Callithrix jacchus: one gene and its partners. The protein of the gene in region 1 interacts with the protein of each later gene in a pairwise test. Links are inferred from orthologs where the notes say so. Each region holds a gene or a part of one and is shown in the gene's direction. Other genes may lie near its edges.

What was found. The genes of interacting proteins can lie anywhere in the genome.
Region 2: the proteins of CEP70 (region 1) and EMD interact in binary tests that used the Homo sapiens proteins (3 or more experiments, as listed by UniProt). The two-hybrid records come from large-scale screens. The link is inferred for Callithrix jacchus from reciprocal best matches to the Homo sapiens genes CEP70 and EMD.
Region 3: the proteins of CEP70 (region 1) and TRIM29 interact in binary tests that used the Homo sapiens proteins (3 or more experiments, as listed by UniProt). The two-hybrid records come from large-scale screens. The link is inferred for Callithrix jacchus from reciprocal best matches to the Homo sapiens genes CEP70 and TRIM29.
Region 4: the proteins of CEP70 (region 1) and LENG1 interact in binary tests that used the Homo sapiens proteins (3 or more experiments, as listed by UniProt). The two-hybrid records come from large-scale screens. The link is inferred for Callithrix jacchus from reciprocal best matches to the Homo sapiens genes CEP70 and LENG1.
Region 5: the proteins of CEP70 (region 1) and C16H8orf33 interact in binary tests that used the Homo sapiens proteins (3 or more experiments, as listed by UniProt). The link is inferred for Callithrix jacchus from reciprocal best matches to the Homo sapiens genes CEP70 and C8orf33.

Annotation. Positions count from the first base shown.
Region 1 is NC_133518.1:45,772,877-45,777,027, forward strand, and holds the start of CEP70 (centrosomal protein of 70 kDa), read left to right. Parts: upstream 1-1,351; 5' UTR 1,352-1,527; intron 1,528-1,841; exon of another isoform or gene 1,842-2,003; intron 2,004-4,151.
Region 2 is NC_133524.1:150,171,788-150,175,893, forward strand, and holds EMD (emerin), read left to right. Parts: upstream 1-1,306; 5' UTR 1,307-1,439; coding exon 1,440-1,521; intron 1,522-1,645; coding exon 1,646-1,753; intron 1,754-1,901; coding exon 1,902-1,979; intron 1,980-2,192; coding exon 2,193-2,326; intron 2,327-2,761; coding exon 2,762-2,808; intron 2,809-2,889; coding exon 2,890-3,217; 3' UTR 3,218-3,624; downstream 3,625-4,106. UniProt on the Homo sapiens protein: Stabilizes and promotes the formation of a nuclear actin cortical network. Stimulates actin polymerization in vitro by binding and stabilizing the pointed end of growing filaments. Inhibits beta-catenin activity by preventing its accumulation in the nucleus.
Region 3 is NC_133511.1:19,784,295-19,788,565, reverse strand, and holds the start of TRIM29 (tripartite motif-containing protein 29), read left to right. Parts: upstream 1-1,471; 5' UTR 1,472-1,554; coding exon 1,555-2,358; intron 2,359-4,271.
Region 4 is NC_133523.1:47,340,471-47,344,479, reverse strand, and holds the start of LENG1 (leukocyte receptor cluster member 1), read left to right. Parts: upstream 1-1,209; 5' UTR 1,210-1,232; coding exon 1,233-1,364; intron 1,365-2,411; coding exon 2,412-2,591; intron 2,592-3,502; coding exon 3,503-3,765; intron 3,766-4,009. Other genes in the region: voltage-gated chloride channel TMC4, read left to right, coding at 1-133, 390-468, 563-631.
Region 5 is NC_133517.1:52,665,663-52,669,778, reverse strand, and holds the start of C16H8orf33 (UPF0488 protein C8orf33 homolog), read left to right. Parts: upstream 1-1,316; 5' UTR 1,317-1,348; coding exon 1,349-1,354; intron 1,355-1,442; coding exon 1,443-1,751; intron 1,752-1,913; coding exon 1,914-1,998; intron 1,999-2,147; coding exon 2,148-2,294; intron 2,295-2,858; coding exon 2,859-2,988; coding exon of another isoform or gene 2,989-3,004; exon of another isoform or gene 3,005-4,116.

The DNA of each region.
Region 1 (4,151 bases):
TTACCATTGTAAACTCCCCCACTTATAAATCTGACTCAGCATCTAGTTCAATCCCTGGTACATAACAGGTGCTTAACAAATTTTTATAAATGAATGAATGTTAAATGAATGTTTACAATGATTAGAATTCTAGTGGGTGGATGAGGCCCATAGAAAACTCTTGAGACCAATGTGGCAGGATTCTCAGTGAAAAACTAAATCTGTGTGCAGGATGCTTTCCTTCTCTAGCAAACAGAGGTGCTGGAAAGGCTTTCACCATCCATAAGAAGGGAATTGTTTTGGAGGGCAATGCTATAACACCTCTTCCCCTCCATTGATCACATAAAATATCCAGTTAGAAAATAGGAATCAGCCTTCTTGTGCTCTGAAGACATGAAGGATACTGGTGATAATCCATCTAGCATCCATTCTCCTCCCTTACAGGTCTCGGTTTTATTCAAACAGACATGCCTCCACCTTGCAACTCATGTGACTCAAAGAGCACTGACACCACTGCCAATTCCAATTGTCATAGCTCCTTTTCACTTCCGGAACCCAGGCTTAAGCTTCTGTACATTTCCCAGGCAGTTACTAATAAAGAGGCAGAGTGTGTGCCTGTGTGACCCAATTGGCTTTAAAAACCAGGAGGAAGGGTTTTAGATGAAAAAGAAAGTATGTGGTCCTGATTTCTCCAAGTAAACACCTGGAAAATCACGTCAGTATGAATTTGAAGTCTACCCTTTTCTACAACAGAGCAGAGAGACTATAGCAACTGGGTCTGTGGTAACTTGCTGAGCCACTGAATTAATCAAAGTCTACCTTGCCTCTGGTCTTTCTGTTATGCGAGATAATCAACTTCCTTATTTTTTAGCAAGACAATTTAACTCAGATTTTATATCACATGCCTCCAAAATAATCATAACTGACCCAAATATGTTTGGCCTCTACAATCAGGGCAGCCATGCTCAGAAGAGTGCGCAAGGGCACCCTATTGTCTTGGAAAAGGCAAGCACTGAGACTATTGCCTTTTGAGAACTGAAAATGCCAATCTGCTAATCATCCTTAGAGTGAATATCCAGGTATGAAAAGCAAAGGGGGTGGGCATAGGATGGGGCAGGGACACGTTTGCCTGGGTCAAACACAGAGATCAAAATTAAAAGTGGTCCCATCTGCCTGGAAGAAGGCTAAGAAGGGTCTGAAAGTATTGAGCTCCAAGAGCCCTTGGACCTTCTGGTGAGACACCCTTGGCTGATGCCCTTGATGGGACATCCCTGTTGGCTGCTGTGGCACCTGCATCCACTACAGACCTACATTATTTGACTAATTTGAAAAGACAGGTTGTCAAGAGCGACACCATGTGGCTATAATACACAATGACAATGGTGGACAGCTACAGCCCGAGAGGCCTGACGCTTCATTGAGAAGTGGAAAATGCTGAATGGAAAGATGAAATGTGATCAACAAACATTTAATGCGGTCCTGCAAATGTCAGCTGCTACAGTGCTCAGCCAGGTCTGGAACATCGAGAATATGGTGATCCGTACTCTGGTAAGAGCTCGCAGTCGCGGCGGAGTAGAGGGCGAGAGAGAGGGCAGTCTCTGGTGGGTAGGTAACCCAGGCTTCACTTTCACCCACGACCACAAGTATTTTTTACGTCTTCCGGACAAATGAGGCTCCATGTAAGTGACAGGGGAACCTAGGGAGGGCTATGAAATGCGCCAGCGTGCCAGCGACCAGCGCAGCGCAACGAGGCCTACTTTTGCGGTAAGCCCCGCCCCTAGCAGCTGAGCCAACCGGAGGGCGCGGGGCGGACCCAGCCTCCCCGTGAGGCCGGAGAGAATCGCTTGCGGGCTTTCGCAGGCGGAGAAAGGGCCGGCCCTCGATGCGCTAGGGCTTGATTTGCCGCCCTCCTCCGGCGGCGGCAACGGTCGCGGAGGCGGCGCCTCACCTAGCTGCGCGGGACCTCACCTAGCTGTGCCAGCCTTAGTCGGGGAGCTGCTGGTGGGAGGCGGCGACTGAGGAAGGTGAGTGGCACTCGGGGCTCTCAGAGGCGCCGGCATGAGCCCCTTTCCTGGGGCACCCCGGGCATGACATCACCTAGGCCTAAAAGTGGTCAGACTGACCCTTGTCAGGGAGGAGCCGCCTGGGACAGGGTCGCGCCTATTAAAAAAATCCTTGCGTAAGGGTTTGGGGATCGGACAAACCTAGTCCCAGCTCCCCAGCCTTTGTGTTCTTTGGGTTTTCCTTTAATGTCTCAGCGCCTCCGAGTCTTTATTTGTATACTAAAGCTGGTAATTCTTGCCTTACAAGGTGGTTGTGAGGGTTAAATGAGGCAATAAGAGTAAAACTCAGAACCGCACCGGGCGCAGACTCGATTTGGGATAAGCTGTAGGCAATTACTCCATCCCCCAAAATCGCCCCGGGCTGAAGCGCTCGGTTTGTGTCAAACAACTGCGAAGGTTGTTTAGGGAGTGAGGACTCGGAGCAGAAGGGGGCTGTTAGTCGAATAGCGCAGGTGTCACTTTCTGCGGTTTATTAAGCTCATTCCGGATTCAGAAGACCTCTGACTTTATACAGAGCCTAATAGGAGTCTTTCCAGGTGAAAAATGTCAGAAGGTGAAGACACCCGTAACAGAGAGACCAATCAGAGTTTCCTGCCACTGTGTTTTTCGATCATAGTAATATTAAACAGGCCTGGCGCGGTGGTTCACCCCTGTAATTCTAGCACTTTGGGAGGCCGAGGTGGGCGGATCACCTGAGGTCAGGAGTTCGAGAACAGCCTGGCCACCATGGTGATACCCTGTCTCTACTAAAAATACAAAAATTAGCCGGGCCTGGTGTTGCGCGCCTGTAATCCCAGCTACTCAGGAGTCTAAGGCAGGAGAATCGCTTGAACTTGGGAGGCGGAGGTTGCAGTGAGCCGAGATCACGCCACTGCACTCCAGCCTGGGTGACAGAGCGAGACTCCGTGACAAACTCACTCTCTCTCTCTCTCTCTCTCTCTGTGTATATATATATAAACTGTGCCGGCATTACCCATATTGGTTTCAATCTTCTGCTTGAGTTTTGTACTTTAAATATTGCCAAGTAGACTCAGGCCTCCCCTGCCCCACCTTTTGGGGAAGAGGTGACTGACTTAGCGTCTTCCCAACAGCTTTTGCTTTAAAGCAAGGTTCTGCCCCTTTGATGTCACCTCTCCTGGGAGAGAATGATTTGGTTGAGATGACATCCCATTTTGCTTCTTTTTCCTATTAGGGGTAGGTTCAGCTCTTTCTTAGGAACATTAAACAGCAGGTTGCCATATTTTTTTAGAATAGAAGCTTTTGTATTTAATAAGCAGTGGAGACTTCGAAAGGGTTACACGTTTTCATTTATTTTTTCTTTTTTTTTGTACGCATTCATTTATTGTAGTAATTTTAAGTATATACTTTTGAAGACGCTTAAAGATTTTGGTGTGATTCAGTTGAGAAGGAACAGTTATTGGCCATGGTTGTCAGCTCCCCTCCCCCACCCCAAATATGAAAAAAATAATTAAATTTTAAGGTGTGGAGCACGTTACAAGGGGCTTCAGACCTATAAAGGGCAATTTGGCTGAAAGACTTGGGAAACCTAGAAAGTGCCAGAAGATACAATTATGTTTTTGCTTTTCTATGCTTGGCTTACTATGCCATGTACAAACCAACTCCTATCCTTCAACTCCTACCGCGCCCCCCCCCCCCCGAGTCTTATTTTAAGTGTATTAACGACAGTAATTAGAGCTATAGCTTCTGTGTTGGCCCTATAAAGCATTTGGTCTCTTCCTGTGACTTTAAAAGTTCTAGACCTGTGTCCTGTCACAGCCTATAGTGGGGAAAATGTTGCTGCAAACTGTTGGCCCATTTATTTCACAGAATGGGTCTCTGAAAAGGAGGGCTTGGTCATAGGTGCAAATGAGTAGTTTTCTTCCTGGGTTTGCTTTTGTGATCAGTGGTAGTTTGTCTGAGGATGCTTCATTTTAGTACCCTTGCAAATAAATATCCTACCTGTGAAGCCAGAAGTCAGAATTGACGATAGATGATGATAGATTTGGATAGCCAGCTAAATGCCTCAACAAGGTGGGGAGAGAAGAGAAGGGGAGGGGCATATGATGGTGAGCTGGGAAGGCCATTAGCAGTTATTTCAGTTGTGCCTGC
Region 2 (4,106 bases), on another chromosome or scaffold:
GTGACAGAGCGAGACTCTCTCAAAAAAAAAAAAAAAAAAAAAAAAAAAGAATATCACCTCTTCTCCATTCTCCGTAGGGCAGCCCTTATCTGATCAAGGTCCTGGGAATCCTAGCCACAGTCCAGGCTCCTGAGCAGGCCTTGGCAGCCCTTCCATAGCTCGACACCCACGTCTGCCCCCTGCCGGGCTATGCTGGGCTCAGGGGCCATTCCGACAGAAGAGGAAGCCCCACTTCAGCTCCCGCCAGTGCCCCGGGTGAATGAACGACATGAAGCGTTAGGCTGGACACACGTCATCTCTGCACACATCGCACAGCGCCCTCTGTCCGCGCTCACTGGCGTGCTCGCTGGCTTGCCCGGGCCCCTTCGAAGGCTGCTTGCTCCTGGAGTGCCGGCGGCCTCCTGGCCCAGTGCCCCATTTCCTCCCGGGTGGAGCGAGGTAGGAGAAAAGGAAGGAGGGAGGCGGTGGGAAGCAGCGAGCATATGTGCACGGGCGACAGCCCTGCAGACTGGGAAGGTGGGCCCGTGGCAGGGGGTCTGCGAGGACCGCGTAGGCGCGGGCCTTGCCCCACAGCCGCTTCCCAGGTGATGCGCACACAAAGCTCCCTCAGTAGTGCCTAGCCCGGGGCCGGCGCTCCCTTAGGGTTCAGACCCTTCCCGCCGCTGCTGGGGCGGCCGACCCGGATGCGGCCGGGGAATCCTACGCCCTGGGGCCACGGGAAAGGGGACCAGGGCGTAGAGAAGGGATGTGCTGGGACGGTGGGGAGCCCAAGTGACTTAGGGACCAGAGCCACCGCTAGCGCCCACTTAGGCCGCTCTCACTTCCCGGCCGGCAGATGCCGGGTGTTAGACACACAGGCCCCGCCCCTCTCTACCGACTGGCTCACGCACGCCTCAAGGTGACGTCTAGGCTCCCAGCCGCACCGCCCAGACTCCCGTGCGGGCCCCACCCCCAACAGCTCCGGGCGTTAGTGACGTACGGACTCGCGACCCCGCTCGCTCCCACCGCGACACCTTCTGCTCCGCTCCCGCGCGGGCCCCGCCCCCTCCATCGCTAGCCAATCCGTGTGTTTGTGACGTTGGGCTTGCGGCCCCGCCCACTCCCACCGCGAGACTGATTCCCACTGTCCTGACTCTCGGCGCGGGCCCCGCCCCGTCCGCCGCTAGCCAATCCGTGCGTTTATGACGTTTGGACTCACTGCCCCAGCCTCCCAGCTCCCAAGGCCCGGCCGTTCTGCGCCTGCTGCTCCCGCCGTTAAGCCCCTCCCCGCACAGCGCGCGCAGCCTGCGGAGCCCGAGGCCGTGACGAGACAGTGATTTGGCTGTGACGCGAGCGCGATCGCTCCCGAGGCGCTCGTGCCGCCCCCGCCGTGATCCTCGGCAGCCGCTGCTCGGCGGGTTTTGGCAGGGGCCCGGCTTCCGCCCGCGCCCGCACCCGCCATGGACGACTACGCGGGTCTTTCGGATACCGAGCTGGCCGCCGTGCTGCGCCAGTACAACATACCTCACGGGCCAGTTGTCGGTACGCGGCGGCGGGCAGGACCTGCCCCCGGGCCCCCTCCCCGCGCTCTGCCCCGCGCCCTCCCCGCCACCCTACCCGCGCGCCTTCCCCGGCTTGTGGCCCTGACCGCCTCGTGTCCGGCCAGGGTCTACTCGTAAGCTTTACGAGAAGAAGATCTTCGAGTACGAGACCCAGAGGCGGCGGCTCTCGCCCCCCAGCTCGTCCGCCGCCTCCTTCTCCTATCGCTTCTCTGGTGAGAGCCTCGCTTGTGGGGACCGGGCCTGGGATGCGGGGAGATCGGGGTCGCGAGGGTGTGGCAGGGGCGCCGGTCGAGAGCGGCACCGGGGAGAGGGGAGGGAAGCCTGGGGGGCAAACAGTTCTGTCGCCTCCCTTCAATCCAGACTTGAATTCGCCGTCAGTGGATTCAGATATGTATGATCTTCCCAAGAAAGAGGACGCCTTACTCTACCAGAGCAAGGGTAAGGCAGGGGTGGGGTGGGCACGCTGGCACGTTCACCTGACTGCGTCAGGGACCCCGCTCACAGGGAGGACCTGAGACCTCAGCCCCAACCACTCCAGCAGCCTTAGGAGGGAGAAACTGTCACAGGTCCCGAAAGAGATTCAGATTAGGGCCAGCAGGCCAGGTGGGGCACACCGATGCCCCCTCTGCTACCGCTGCCCCCCTTCCCAAGGCTACAATGACGACTACTATGAAGAGAGCTACTTAACTACCAGGACTTATGGGGAGCCCGACTCTGCGGGCCAGTCCAGGGGCTTCCGCCAGTCTGCGACTTCACTCCCAGATGCTGACACTTTCCACCACCAGGTGAGCTGGCTGGCAGGTGCCCTGTACTTGAGTACAATCTAGGGGATGGCGGCTGTGTTTGGATAAATCCAGGGGGCCACTGGATACAAATGGTGGCTTCTGTGCTTCTGGGGAGACTGGCTCAGCAGACGCCTGTTTGGCCAGGTCCCTACTTTGGGGAGCCATCAGAACTGTGACTAGAGCACCCTGGTCTGCAATCTAGGCTCAAGCTTTTCCTGAGACTCCTGGGGGCAAAAGGGAATAGCAGGGCATGAGCACAAGTGACAAGACCCCACAAACAAAAGACTGAACACCAAGAGCCATTCGGGAGGGTGTGGGTCCCTGGCCTCTAACCAAAGGTCAGAGGGCACCAGCTGGGGAAGTTTGGACTGAGGGATGTGGCAGGGCCATGGTGGCCCTGCCAGTCGGTCCACTCACCCTGACTCTCTTCTGCAGGTGCGTGATGACAATCTTTTGTCTTCTGAAGAGGAGTGCAAGGATAGGTACGTAGAGGGCAGGCCCAGGAACAGGGACTGGTTCTGCACCCAGGCTCCTGGCCCACCTGCTCCCCTCTTTTGCCTCAGGGAACGTCCCATGTACGGCCGGGACAGTGCCTACCAGAGCATCGCGCACTACCGCCCTGTTTCAGCCTCCAGGAGCTCCCTGGGCCTATCCTATTATCCTACCTCCTCCTCCACCTCTTCTGTGTCCTCATCTTCATCTTCCCCTTCATGGCTTACCCGCCGAGCCATCCGGCCAGAAAAGCATGCTCCTGGGGCTGGGCTTGGCCATGATCGCCAGGTCCCGCTCTGGGGCCAGCTGCTGCTTTTCCTGGTCTTTGCGATCTTCCTCTTCTTTGTTTACTACTTCATGCAGGCGGAGGAAGGCAACCCCTTCTGGAGGGAGCCCTGAGGGTCTGGGCTTCAGAGCCAGCTCTTCTGGGGAAGTCCTGGCTGATGGCCTTAGCAGTGAGGGTGGGGGTGGGGGTGGGGGTGGGGGCTTTTGTGTGTGTTCTCGCTTGGGGGGCGCTGGCCCAGCCCAGAGTAGTGCTTGCTCCCCTGCCTTGTCCCACCAGGGAGGCAGCAGACTCAAGCCCTCCATGATCTGGGGGACCTGGGTGTGCTTTCCTCTCTAGCCTCCTGGCCCTGCTTGCCTGTAACCCTTAGGGTCCAGGAGGGCAAGGCCTCGCTCCATCAGAGAACATGGTTATTGTTGTTGTCATGCATGCCTCCTTTTAGTTGTCATCTTGAGGGGATTAACCAAAGGCCACCATGACTTTGTTTTCGTGGACACACAATAAAAACCCCATTTATTTTTAATGTGTTGACTCTTCCTGGAGGAGAGGGTTGGGTTCCCATGGCAAGGGCATCTGGCCTTGCTGGGTCTGCATTTTGGCTTTGGTCTGGGGATAGGAATCAATTGCTACCCAGAAATGTTTGTGTTTTGTTTGGGAGTTTTATTCCCTGACTCATTCCCCAAAGCACGTGTAACTGCTTATACATATAATTGTGGTACAACAAGGTATATACAGAGAACCCACTTGGAAATTCAGGCAAAGCTGCATGCACGCCACCAGCAGTCTGCGGGTGTTTTAACTGGAAAAAGCTGAAGTCCACCCGATTGTCCAAAGGCATGGGGACAGAAAGAAGATGAGGCGTCTCATTGGCAGATCATCCTTGGCTCCTGGAACTGCTGCTTGTTTACCATGGGAGAAAAGCTCCAAAGGCCGCATCATCCCTGGGTGGTAGAATTCACCTGCCTATATTCTCACTTAACTCCCAGATTTTCTGCCCTGGGTATG
Region 3 (4,271 bases), on another chromosome or scaffold:
AGGGGCTGTTTTTTACAAAGGATTACCTTTGTTAAAGGTCTGGTCAGCCAAAGGGGCGGGGGCTTCCTGACTTGACCTGGATTTGAGGTGAAGGACGGGAAACCCACTCCCCTCCACATAGCCCAGAACCTGCCATGCCAGCCTCACCAACTGTCTTCTCTGCCCCACCCAGCCTGGCCCTGGAGAGGCATGCCCTTTCCTTGGGGGTTTGGAGGCTTCCCAGGATGAGGCCAGTGGGTCAGAGCCCAGAAGTGACTTTCGGGGCATATCCTACAAGAGCTGAGGGTCCCTGGTGTTCTGCAGGGGCCAGGGAGGGGAAGGGGATAGCATTTGTTTTCCTCACTTTTCTTCCTGAGGTCTGTATTTATATGATAGTCATATTTGAACCGGTGACTTCTGAGATTATCTGAATCCCACACTTCACTGGCCTCTTTTTGGAGGACGTTGCCTGTGGCCTGGCCCAGAGAGGATGGGCAGATGTTTTCTGAGTCACACAGAAGGGCAAGTGTGGAGACAGGTGAGTCAAGTGTTTGGGCCCTGAGAACCCAACCACCTGGCCTGGCATTGCTTGGATTCCCTTATTCCCGTGCCTCAGTCCTTTGAATCCATGAAGGGTCTGGCCTGCTCTGATAGCAATAATCTAAGGTCTACATGTATCTTATTAGGGCCACTGGGATAGGTCAGACTCTCAGAAGCCATCTTCTGGTGAGATATTCAGGTAACTCCATGACCTCCCAGCTGCAGAAGGGACTTTGGCATCTCAAAGGCTTAGGGTTCAAATCCCAGCTCTGCCACTTGACTTAGGCAGTGAGTTATCTTCTTAAAGCCTCGGTTTTCTCATCTATTAAAAAGGGGTAATTGAACAGGTTTTAGGGATGCTCGAATGAGGTCATATATATTAAGTACCTAGGAATGTGCCTGGAGGTTGTCAAGTAGGGTTCAGTAACCAGTAGCCAAATCAAACGGAACCCATCCTCCCTGCTTGTGGTGAAAAGCAGCTCCACAGTCCCAGGGTGGACCATCTTTCTTCTGAAACTCAGGCCCGCAAATTACAAGGCTATTTGACTTGTGTGACCCAGTTAACAGCCCTGTGCCCCGTAGGCCTCTGCAGACACCTCATCTTCTGCCCCAGGGGCCTCTGGGCTCAGTGAAGCCTGCCCACCTGTGAAGACAGAGGCTCCCCGCTCCCCCGATGAGAAGCAAGTGCGTCAGAGGGAAGCAGCCCAACTGGTTGCTGAGTTGTGGAAAATAATTAAGCTGGGGGAGAAAAAAACACTTCTTTTAAAAATCAGGTTAGGGATGACTGTACAGGGCGTGGCTCCCGTGTAATTATCTGCTCTGCTGGCTGCCGGGGCTGCCTGCTTCTCCCTGGGCCCGTTGTGTCAGGCTTGTACCTGCTGCTCCTCCCCTCCACCTCCTTCCCCTCCTCCTCCCCACAGGTGTGTCTCTGGGCCCTGCGGCTGCCTGCCCCACTCCCTGCCGAGACACCCGCCAGCAAGGTCACCTACCCTGAACCCCAGCAAGCCTGAAACAGATCAGCTGAGCCCCCCTGCGATGGAAGCTGCTGATGCCTCCAGGAGCAACGGGTCGAGCCCGGAAGCCAGGGATGCTCGGAGCCCGTCGGGTCCCAATGGCAGCCTGGAGAATGGCACCAAGGCCGACGGCAAGGATGCCAAGACCACCAACGGGCACAGCGGGGAGGCAGCCGAGGGCAAGAGCTTGGGCAGTGCCCTGAAGCCAGGGGAAGGGAGGAGCGCCCTGTTCGCGGGCAATGAGTGGCGGCGACCCATTATCCAGTTTGTCGAGTCGGGCGACGACAAGAACTCCAACTACTTCAGCATGGACTCGTTGGAAGGCAAGAGGTCACCGTACGCAGGGCTCCAGCTGGGGGCCGCCAAGAAGCCGCCCGTCACCTTTGCCGAAAAAGGCGAGCTGCGCAAGTCCATTTTCTCGGAGCCGCGGAAGCCCTCAGTGTCCATCGTGGAGCCCGGGGAGGCGCGGCGGAACAGCTACCCCCGGGCAGACACGGGCCTTTTCTCCCCGGCCAAGTCCAGCTCCGAGGAGGTGCTGTGCGACTCCTGCATTGGCAACAAGCAGAAGGCGGTCAAGTCCTGCCTGGTGTGCCAGGCCTCCTTCTGCGAGCTGCACCTCAAGCCCCACCTGGAGGGCGCCGCCTTCCGAGACCACCAGCTGCTGGAGCCCATCCGGGACTTCGAGGCCCGCAAGTGTCCCATGCATGGCAAGACTATGGAGCTCTTCTGCCAGACTGACCAGACCTGCATCTGCTACCTCTGCATGTTCCAGGAGCACAAGAATCACAGCACCGTGACAGTGGAGGAGGCCAAGGCCGAGAAAGAGGTGCGTGCTGGGCCCCTCCTGCCCCTCCTGGCCTCTCCCCTCACCCTGACCCTCCTACCTTATCTTCTCCAATGGGGCTTCCTGGTGTTTGGGGTTTAAACCTCTACTGTCCTTGGCTCTTTTAGTAAACATTTATTTCCCTTCATGCCCCCTGTTGCCCCTAACCCCAGCTGGGGATCAGAGGTGGCTCTCCAATCCCCTAAGGTCTCAGGAGACAGGGGTATTTTCTAGATGAGCAGATGGAGACTCAGAAAAGATTGGGGGCCTGATCAAAGTCATAGGATAAATTCAAGTTGGGTCAGAGAGTAAGACCCAATGGCACATAACTCACTCCTGGGCTCTGTGCCTGGCTGGGTGTTCCTTCTCCTTCTCCTTCTCCTCCTCCCTTCTCCTTCTCCTTTTCCTTCTCACTTCTTCTCTTTCTTCTCCTCTCCCTCCTCTTCCTTCCCCCCCCCCCCGCTTCTTCTCTGTCTCCTTCCTCTTATTCTTATTTTTTCTCTTTTTTTCTTTCCCTCCCTCCCCTTCCCTCCCCCTCCCTCCCTCCCTCCCTCCCTCCCTCCCTTCCTTCCTTCCTTCTTTCTTTTCTTTCTTTTTGGCTTTAAAGAAGAGACAATTCCTCCAACCTGAGTGGGATTGGCTCCTGAGGAATGGATTGTAGGTGAGTAAAGATACCAGAAGGAGAGAATTTTGGGGCCCACCAAAATGTCCTTTCTGCTGTTTTGCAGTTTTTATTTGTGCTACAGTGGCTGCTTGTTCTAGCGGATCCCCAGCTGGTCTCTTGACTTCTCCACAGCCTCCTTTATCCGTCTCTCAGCTGGGCCCCGCGTTTCGCGTGTGTGGTTGGGTGTGGACACACCTATTCCTATAGCTGGACACTGTTGGGGAGGTTTGGAGTTTGTGTGTGGATGGTGTGTACATTTACAGCTAACCCTGACTTAGGATGGTTCGATTTATGTTGGTGTGAAAGTGCTATGCTTTCAGTACAGTATTCCATAAAATCCAACACTTTATTACAAAATAGGCTTCGTAGTAGAAAATTTTGCTAAACTGTAGGCTAATGCAATTGCTCTGAACATGTTTAAGGTAAGCTACGTTAAGCTATGATGCTTGGTAGTCTAGGGTTATTAAATGCATTTTTGACCTATCACATTTTCAACTTACAATGGGTTTATTGGGAAATAACCCCATCAGAAGTTGAGGAGCTGCATATGTGTGTATTTTATGTGCACGTGGGTGTTTTTGTGCCTTTGTGGATGTTTGCCTGTATTTGTCTATGTGATATGTAAGTGTGTTTGCATGAGTTTGGTGTATGTGACTGTGCATGCACTTCTATGGGAAGGAGCAGAGGCGAGTGCAGGCTTGTGGATGTAGCATACCTGGGGAAGGTGATTTGGACAGAGACCCCAGCTGTGGCCACTGCCCTGTGCCCCACAGATGAGGGGGTCACTCTACCCTAAGGTACATAATTTTCTGGTGTGGCCTTCCAGGGGGCAAACCTTCCTGGCCTTTAAAGCAGTGGACTCCGCTTTTCTGAAGAGCTTCTGCACACCGCAGATCTGAACAGCGCAGGACTCCTCCTTGCCCAGCCTTCCTGATCAGGGGGAGCTGCTCCTTTAATCCTCTCTCCCTTCATCTCTCACCCACACCCTGCCCATCTGGACAGAAAGGGGGGAGGTAGAGAGGGGAACAGATGTACAGATCCCTTCCTGAAGCCTTGTTTGGCCCAGGAAGACGATGTTTCCAGCTTCTCCCATCTTCTGACCCCAGCGTGGCCTCAAGCTTTGTTGGGAGACAAAGATGGGACAGGGGCCTTGAAACTCATTCTTAGAGAGCTTTGCTGTGAGGTTATGCAGAACAAGGGGCCGTCCTCCTCATCACAGCAGCTGAGAAACTGCAGAGCCTCAGACAAGGTT
Region 4 (4,009 bases), on another chromosome or scaffold:
GTCCATTCCGGGGGCAGTCGTCCATCTGGGCCCAGATCCCTGAGTCTATTTCCAGCCTCCCTGAGACCGCCCAGAACTTCCTCTTCTTCCTGGGGACTCAGGCTTTTGCTGTACCCCTTCTGCTGATTTCCAGGTGAGTTTGCCCAGACTTCTGGGTCTGGGTTTGAATGCACGTGATCTGGGGGCCACCACCTGCGTCGGAGAGAGGAGAGGCTCGGGGTGGGAGGAGGCCTAGGGTCCAAAGGAGGAGGAGGAGGAGGGTGGGACTTAGGACTCCTGGGCTGGGAGACTGAAGTCCTTGTAGATGACATCCTGGCTTTGAAGGAGCCAGGGGTTTGTATAGAATGGAGGAGCGTGTCAGGAGTGGCTTCTGTTCGTGTCTCCTCCAGCATCCTGATGGCGTACACTGTGGCTCTGGCTAACTCCTACGGTCGTCTCATCTCTCAGCTCAAACGTCAGAGAGAGACGGTGAGCCAGGCGGGTCCCTGAGAGGGACCCCGTGGGGGACATTGAAAGGCATTGGGGGAGAGGGCTGTCTGACCTCCACCTCTCTTTGCCTCAGGAGGCGCAGAACAAAGTCTTCCTCGCACGGCGCGCTGTGGCGCTGAGCTCCACCCACCCGGCTTTTTGACCCCTGCAGCCCATGTCCCACCTTCAGACTCCAGGCCAATTGTAAGCCTAGGTCACATCTGTAAAACTAGGAGAACTAGAGAAGACCCCACGCTCTTCCAGCTCTAGGATCTGGAGGTTTCCAGAGACCCTCGCCGCCACGTCCCAGACTCTCGGGTGATCTTTCTTCTATGAATAAACACAGCCGAGGTGACTGAGCGCGCTTTGAAATCTGCGTCCTGAAGGTGGGGGCAGGGCTACATCAGGGCGGGAGCCAATCAAATGCATGGGAATGTGTGGCCGTTCGAAGTGCTCTTCCGCAAGGAGACTTGATGGTTGTGTTGGCCAATCGGCGGCCGAATCTGGCATTAGGGGAGGGCCAACTTGCGATTGGCTCGGATATGTGAAAAGCGGTTGCTAGGGGATACCACGCGCCAAAAGCCTGGCATTCGCTGAGATAAAGGGCGTCTTAGCCAATCACCTGTCGTTACAGGCCAGGGGGCCGTACCAATGAGTTAAGAACCAATCTGTGGTCGAAGTAGGGACAAGAGGGAAGGGGCATTCTCTCGCCAATCGGAAGTGCAGAGAGGCGGGCGTGCCAGTCCGTGGACTGCTACGACGCCATGAATATCTTGCCCAAGAAGAGCTGGCACGTCCGGAACAAGGACAATGTTGCCCGCGTGCGGCGTGACGAGGCCCAGGCCCGGGAGGAAGAGAAGGAGCGTGAGCGGAGGGTGCTGCTGGCTCAGCAGGAGGTAAGCCTGGGAACCGGCCGGGCGGAACTCCGGGGCCCAGCGCGCAGGCGCCATGGTAGGGGGCCGGAAGTGGACGCGTTGCGCAGGCGCCGTGTGCCCCGTATGTAATTCGTGACCCGGCGCGGACCTCTTTTCCGAAACGTTGCTCGGCAAACGTTGTGCCCACTTGCATGAAATCTCCCTTGATCGCCCCCTCGTCTTGTTTCCCCCCACTGATGTATTTCACATGGCTAGAGCAGTGTCTAGCACAAAAGAGAAGCATAAATGTTTACCGAATTCAGGATTCCTTGGACAGTTTGAGGAAATTCGGATCACTTTCTAGTTGGCTTGCACAGTCTATTTATTGAGCAGTTACTGTATGCTAACTGCATGCAGAACGCCTGACTTCCAGAATCCCCCTTAAGCACCGTTCTTTCTTAAAGAGGCATTGTCATCTCCGTGGCACGAAGTGAGATGGCGTCAAGGGAGGGGAAGTCTCCACCCCCTTGGGCGAGCCCTTTCCCTGCACCACCCCCAGACACACACACAAACATGGGCTTTATGTATAGCTCCTTAAATCTGTTTGGTGTACACCTAACTTTCAGTTCCTTAGCCAGTCTGATCCTCCACACTGGGAGGGAGGTAGTCTGGGTTTTTAGAATCTCAGTAGGCTGCTGAGAGCTTTGTCCTGAAGGTGGGAGACCGGGCTTCATCAATGGACTTGGGGTAATGACTTGGAGCCATGCCTGGAATCCAGATCATCTGACCTAATGCAGTTTGTTCTACCTTTATAGCTGTTTTAATTGTCTCACTTGAGGTTAGGAACCCCTTTGGTTTAGGCCAGGGACCTCCTCCCAGCCATCCTTGATGTGTGGTTTACTATTTGAAAGGCAGTTTACAAAACCCAGGTGTTGCCTTATCTGCCTACCCTCACCCCTGCTAGGACAGGTGCCCCCTTTCTTACAAACCCAGCACCCTGGACTGCTGTTTCCTGTGGTGCGCACCAGACTTAAAAGTTCTTGAATTACCTTTAGGTTTTTAATGTCTTGCCTGTAACTTTCTCCCCAGGCCCGTACAGAATTCCTACGGAAGAAAGCCAGACATCAGAACTCACTGCCTGAGCTTGAGGCAGCAGAGGTGGGAGCCCCAAGTTCTGGCCCTGTGGACCTGTTTCGAGAGCTGCTGGAGGAGGGGAAAGGCCTGATCAGAGGCAATAAAGAGCACGAGGAAGAAAAGCGACAGGAGAAAGTAAGCTGGCCTTATCTACTTCATCAGAGACATGAATGGAGCTGGGGGGAGGGACACTTTAGCCATTGGTTGTGACTAAGGCTAAACAAGAGTGAACACTCAGAATTTAGAACCATACCAAAGCACACTCAGAAGTGGTGGCTGTTGCCATTTGGGTGCCCTCAGGGCTTGGAGGTAGATGCTCGAGATCCCCAGCTGCTAGGTGAACTGCTCAGGTCTCCAAACTGGAGGGGTCTCAAACCTGATGAGCTTTTAAAAATCTAAATCAGCTTGGTGGTGGCTCATGCCTGTAATCCCAGCATTTTGGGAAACTGAGGTGGGCAGATCACCCGCGGTCAGGAGTTCAAGACCAGCCTGGTCAACATGGTATCTCTACTAAAAATACAAAAAAAGTTAGCTGAGCATGGTGGCATGCACCTTTAGTCCCAGAGGCTGAGGCAGGAGAATCGCTTGAACCCAGGAGGTGGAAGCTGCAGTGAGCTGAGATCGTGCCACAGCACTCTAGCCTGGGTGGCAAGAGTGAGACTCAATCTCAGGAAAAAAAAAAAAAAAAAAGTGAATCAATCACTTCTTGCCTTTTGGCTAAGATCGAGTGTAAAAGCTCCTGTTCCTCACCTGCTGTCTCTGGACTTGCTGACCCCACCCACGGGTCCTCTTGCTTTGCTTGCTCCCTGCAAAGATGCCTGCCTCTGAACATTCAGGCAGCTCCACCCCATCCCCTCCTTCCTCTGCTTTCTGTGACTGTCCCTGCTATCGTCACCCCAGGGCAGGAGCTTGGCCTCTGCTGGTCTCTTCCCTCCCCAGCACCTGGCACAGCTGCTTCACCATAGGCCTTAGATACCTGTGTCAGGGAGATAAACCTGACACCCTGAAAGATTATATCCCATCTCTTTTATTTCCTGACCCCTCAGGAGAGACAAGAGAAAGCTCTGGGCATCCTGACATACCTGGGCCAGAGTGCAGCCGAGGCCCAGACTCAACCCCCTTGGTACCAGCTCCCACCAGAGCGAGGGGGTCCCCCGCCTGGCCCAGCCCCAGATGAGAAAATAAAGAGCCGCCTGGACCCTCTGCGGGAGATGCAGAAGCATCTGGGGAAGAAGAGACGGCACAGCAGTGATGAAGGCAATCACAGCAGAAAGGAAAAGGATGGCTCTGAGACACAGCGACCCAAGGGGTGAGGAGGAGGACCCTGCCCTGGCAGAGCAGGACCCAGATCTTCAGGGCTTGGCAGCAGCCTGGCACAGGCACAGCAGGAGCTCTGGGTGGAACAGCCAGGGACCCCGTGAAGGGATGGCTGGGTGGAAAAGTGGTTCTCACCATGTGGTCCAGGGAGCCCTAGGGGTCCTGACTCCCTTTCCGGGGGGTGCCGTGGTGTCAAGCCTATTTTCCTAACACTGTTTGCCTTTCACACTCATTCT
Region 5 (4,116 bases), on another chromosome or scaffold:
ATGTGTGTGGGAGCTTGCAGCAGGCGGTGGGCGGGGGTGGGTGGCAGTGGAGATTATTTACAAAATAAATGGATAGGACCTGGTGCCTGGGGAAGAGGAAGGAATTGGGTGTGAGGCCCGTGTTCAGGCAGATGTCTGGATTGAGAAAGTTTTCTGGAAGAAGCAGTTTTGGATCAGTCAACCGAGGCAGAGAAAGGCCCTTTTGGAGATGGAATGCACTCCCTCCAGTCTCCTGGGACTAAAACACAAACCAAACTGTGGTGGTTTTAAAACGTCTAAAAAGTCTTCCTCTCTCATGAAGCAGCTTCATGAGAGACCATGAGCTACAACCACTAGCCACACTGTTGCTAGATCCCTGACCCTCAGAAAAGTATGAGGTAATATGTGTTGTTTTCAATCCGCTGAATTTTGGGGGTAATGTGTAAAACTACTGTAAATAACCATCAGTGACGACCAAACTTTTGCCCTCTGAGACCCACCAGAGGCAGCTAACACTCCCCCCACCCCACCCCCACCCCCCGCCGTCTCAGGAAACACCACTTTCCACTCTTGTGTCCCCGACAGGAATCATCAGACATCGCTGACTCTTACCTTCTCAAGCAACACAACCCACCCTCCTGGCGCCTCACTCTGCCTCACCTCAGCCTCTAGGCAATATCTCTCGGTTGTGAGGCCTTCATTGGCGGGGGTCGAGTGTTGTATGTGACCCCAGGTCTCCAGTAAGACATGGTGGGAGGGAAGCAGCCTGGTGAAGGCAGGTGGTGGGATGGGGCTCTCTCCCTCTTCCCCATGCCGCCACCCTCCCTCACGCCCATATCCCGTCCAAAGCTCTTCCCGCGTCTGTTTCTGAAACCCCTCCACGTCCCCCTCCACCTCAGACCTCACCCTAGCCCCCGCGTCCCGCGACGCCAGCCTCTCACCCCACCGCGCCCTGACCCTCGCCGACCGAGCATCGCGGGCTGCACCGGGTCCCAGGCCTGTGCCTCTTCCCCAGCTCCCAGAGGTTTTTGCCAACCACCCTCCTGCGCCACAGCTGTTCATGTGCTGTTTACTTGCTTTTCCCTCCCCACCAAAAGGTGAGCCTTGAGAGGACACACCCTTGCGTAGAGCTTTGAACTTTTATCCGGAAAGGTGCCGGGCACATAATCAATGCCCGCGAGCACTCGCTTACGAGGGTCCTCCCGAGACCCACCGCAGCCTCTTCCCGGAGCCCCGAGGCCCCGCCCCTCACGGCTCCGCGCCCCGCCCCGCTTGCGCCCTGCGGGACCCGGAGTCACAGGCGCGCTTCTGTAGGACGGAATTCGGCGTCGGACTCTGAGCCTCCTGGTTCCGGTGGCGACTGCAGCGCATGGCGGTGAGCGGTGTGGAGAAGACGGGAGGGTGGCGGGACCTTGCAGCGTCTGCGGCCCTAAGTGACCCTCGTGCTGTTCCCCTTTCTCCAGGCCCTAGGACATCCTGCCGGGGAGGCAGCGGCGGCCCCAGGCCCGGGTACTCCCTGCGCGTCCCGCAGACACCTGCTCCCCGACCCGGTTTCCAGCGCCCGGAATCCTTCCGCTGTCTGTCTCTGCCCAGGGCAACCCACGGGCAGTAACACCGTCTCCAAAGTGCACCCGTTAGGCGATGAAGGCAGCGCAGCGTCGAAAAAACAAAAGAAGAAGAAAACCCGGAACAGGGCCTCTGTGGCAAATGGAGGCGAGAAGGCCTCAGAGAAACCCGCCCCAGAGGAAGTCCCCCTAAGCGCTGAGGCCCAGGCAAGGGCGGATATCAGTCGGGAAGGGTGGAATCCCGGGTGCCAGTCCACGGGCTCGTGTGGTGTGGGTCCACGAAGTTAAGGCGGGGAGGGGGATGGGATGGGGCCAGGGGCTCTGGTGTCCCAGGGCCCTCTCACAGCCACTTCCCCCAATCCATCACAGGCACAGCAGTTGGCCCAGGAATTGGCTTGGTGTGTGGAGCAGCTGGAGCTGGGCCTCAAGAGGCAGAAAGCCACTCTGAAACAGAGTAAGGGACCCTTCTGTAGAGTTAGGGGATGTGAATATTGGTACTGCCTGCCCTGCAGGTGCTGGCAGGGGATGGAGTTGTTGCCTTTGCGGTGGGGTGGTAGGAGCTCAGTATAGAGATGTTAACTAGTCCTTTATTTTTATTCGCAGAAGAGCAGGCTATTGGAGCAATCCGAGCCCTGCGCAGCAAAAGAACTCCCCTGCCCCAGAAGAGGCTGCTGATGCACTCCTTGTTTGGAGACTACAGGGCTCAGATGGAAGCCGAATGGCGTGAGGCCCTGCGGGCTCTCAGAGGTGGTGAGGAGCTAGCAACTGGTTGATTCAGAAGTCTTAATTTAAGGAGGAAGTATCTGGGGAGTGAAAGGAAGAAGGCCCAGAGCAACAAGGCTGGTGGGGGAAGGAGATGGGCTCAGGGAAGGCTGAGAAAGCAGGGAGAGATAAAGCATAGACCTCTCTTTCTCCTCTTCGCAGGACTGAACCTGGGAGGCAGTGGGGAGGTCCTGGGAGGAGGGGGAAAGAGCTTGGTCCTGTGTTGGTCTTGCTCCTGGGTTGGGGAAAGCTGCCTCATGTCTTTGTGTTGTGCCTTTCTCTACTGGCCATGAAGTCGTATCCCATAACGCTTTGAGTGCAATTCCTGGAGCCATATGAACTAGGGTCTGTCACATAGTAGCACTAACACATTTTGTAAACTACTGAATCTCTCTAAATGGGGGGTGATGGTAATATCAACCTTACAAATTTGAGGAATTAATCCATTAATTTATGCAAAGTGGTTGGAATTGTATGGGCAAACATACTGTACAGATAATGTTAGCTGTTATTATTCAGTCCTGACATACTTTGCTTCTCTCCCCCTGACAGCTGCTTATTCAGCCCAAGTGCATCCTGTAGATGAAGCCACTAGAAAGAAGAGCCAAAGGGTCTGCAGGCCTCGCCCTTTAGGGAGAGCCGAAGCCACTCTGGAAACTGCTCTGCCTGATGAAGAGTTTAGGTTCAATTTCTTTTAGCTTCTCCCCCAAGTTGGAACAGTCCCCCTCCCTTGGTGTGATGTAGGGATTTGTCTTGAGTGCAGAGTCTTTCCAGTACTTCTGTTCGCAGAGAACCCTGGGGTTGGTCTTTCCCTGCCTGGTCCAAGGATTTGGAGCTGTTTTGCAGGTGTGAGACCATCAGACAGGCACAAGACCCCATTTGTTTTCTGATGAAATGTTCCCTCTTCCAGAAGAGAGAGAGAGGTGCAGTTAGAAAATATACAATAAATTGAAATGAGTGTTCAATGTATTGTAGAAAGAATATTGTACTCAGTCTTTAGAATTAGATTAAGTGGCTGTTGGTCACAAAGATTAGTTGGGAATCTATTTAATCATACAGTGGTTTTCACTTTTGGAGGGAATCCCTGTTACGTGGTTTAATGCTTTATGCTGTTATGTCACATTGTCTTAATCTCTGTTTTTGGTAAAATTGGGTAAGGAGTGAAAGACCACCTGTGTTAGAGGAAGTACAGAAGATGCAGGGGTCTAGTATCTCTGGGTCCAGGCTCCCACCTGGGTCCTTTGTCCATGTTGCCTTCATTCCTGACCAGGTGTCATCCTCAGGGAACCAGCATGGCCCCCACCAGGCCAGGCTCTGTTCTTAGGAGCAAGGAGCTTCTTGCCTTAACAATTCTGGCCTGAGACCTGGATTGAGCCTCAGTGGACTTCTTGTCTAAATGTTGGCCATGTCAGTCTCAGGTCCTCTGTTCCGTGGAATTGTGAATCTCCAGGTAACCTAATCCTTATTGGTGGCTCAGTATTTGCTGGTGTCTCCCAAACTCAATTTCCAGACCTGGACCCCAACTGCCTACTAAACATTTTCACTGGGGTATTTCATAGGCATTTCAAACTTGATATATTTTTTTAATTGCATTTTAGGTTTTGGGGTACATGTGAAGAACATGCTAGTTGCATAGGTACACACGTGGCAGTGTAATTTGCTGCCTTCCTCCCCTTCACCTATATCTGGCATTTCTCCCCATGCTATCTCTCCCCAACTCTCCACCCTCCGCTGTCCCTCCCCTATTCCCCCTAACAGACCCCAGTGTGTAGTGCTCCCCTCCCTGTGTTCATGTGTTCTCATTGTTCAA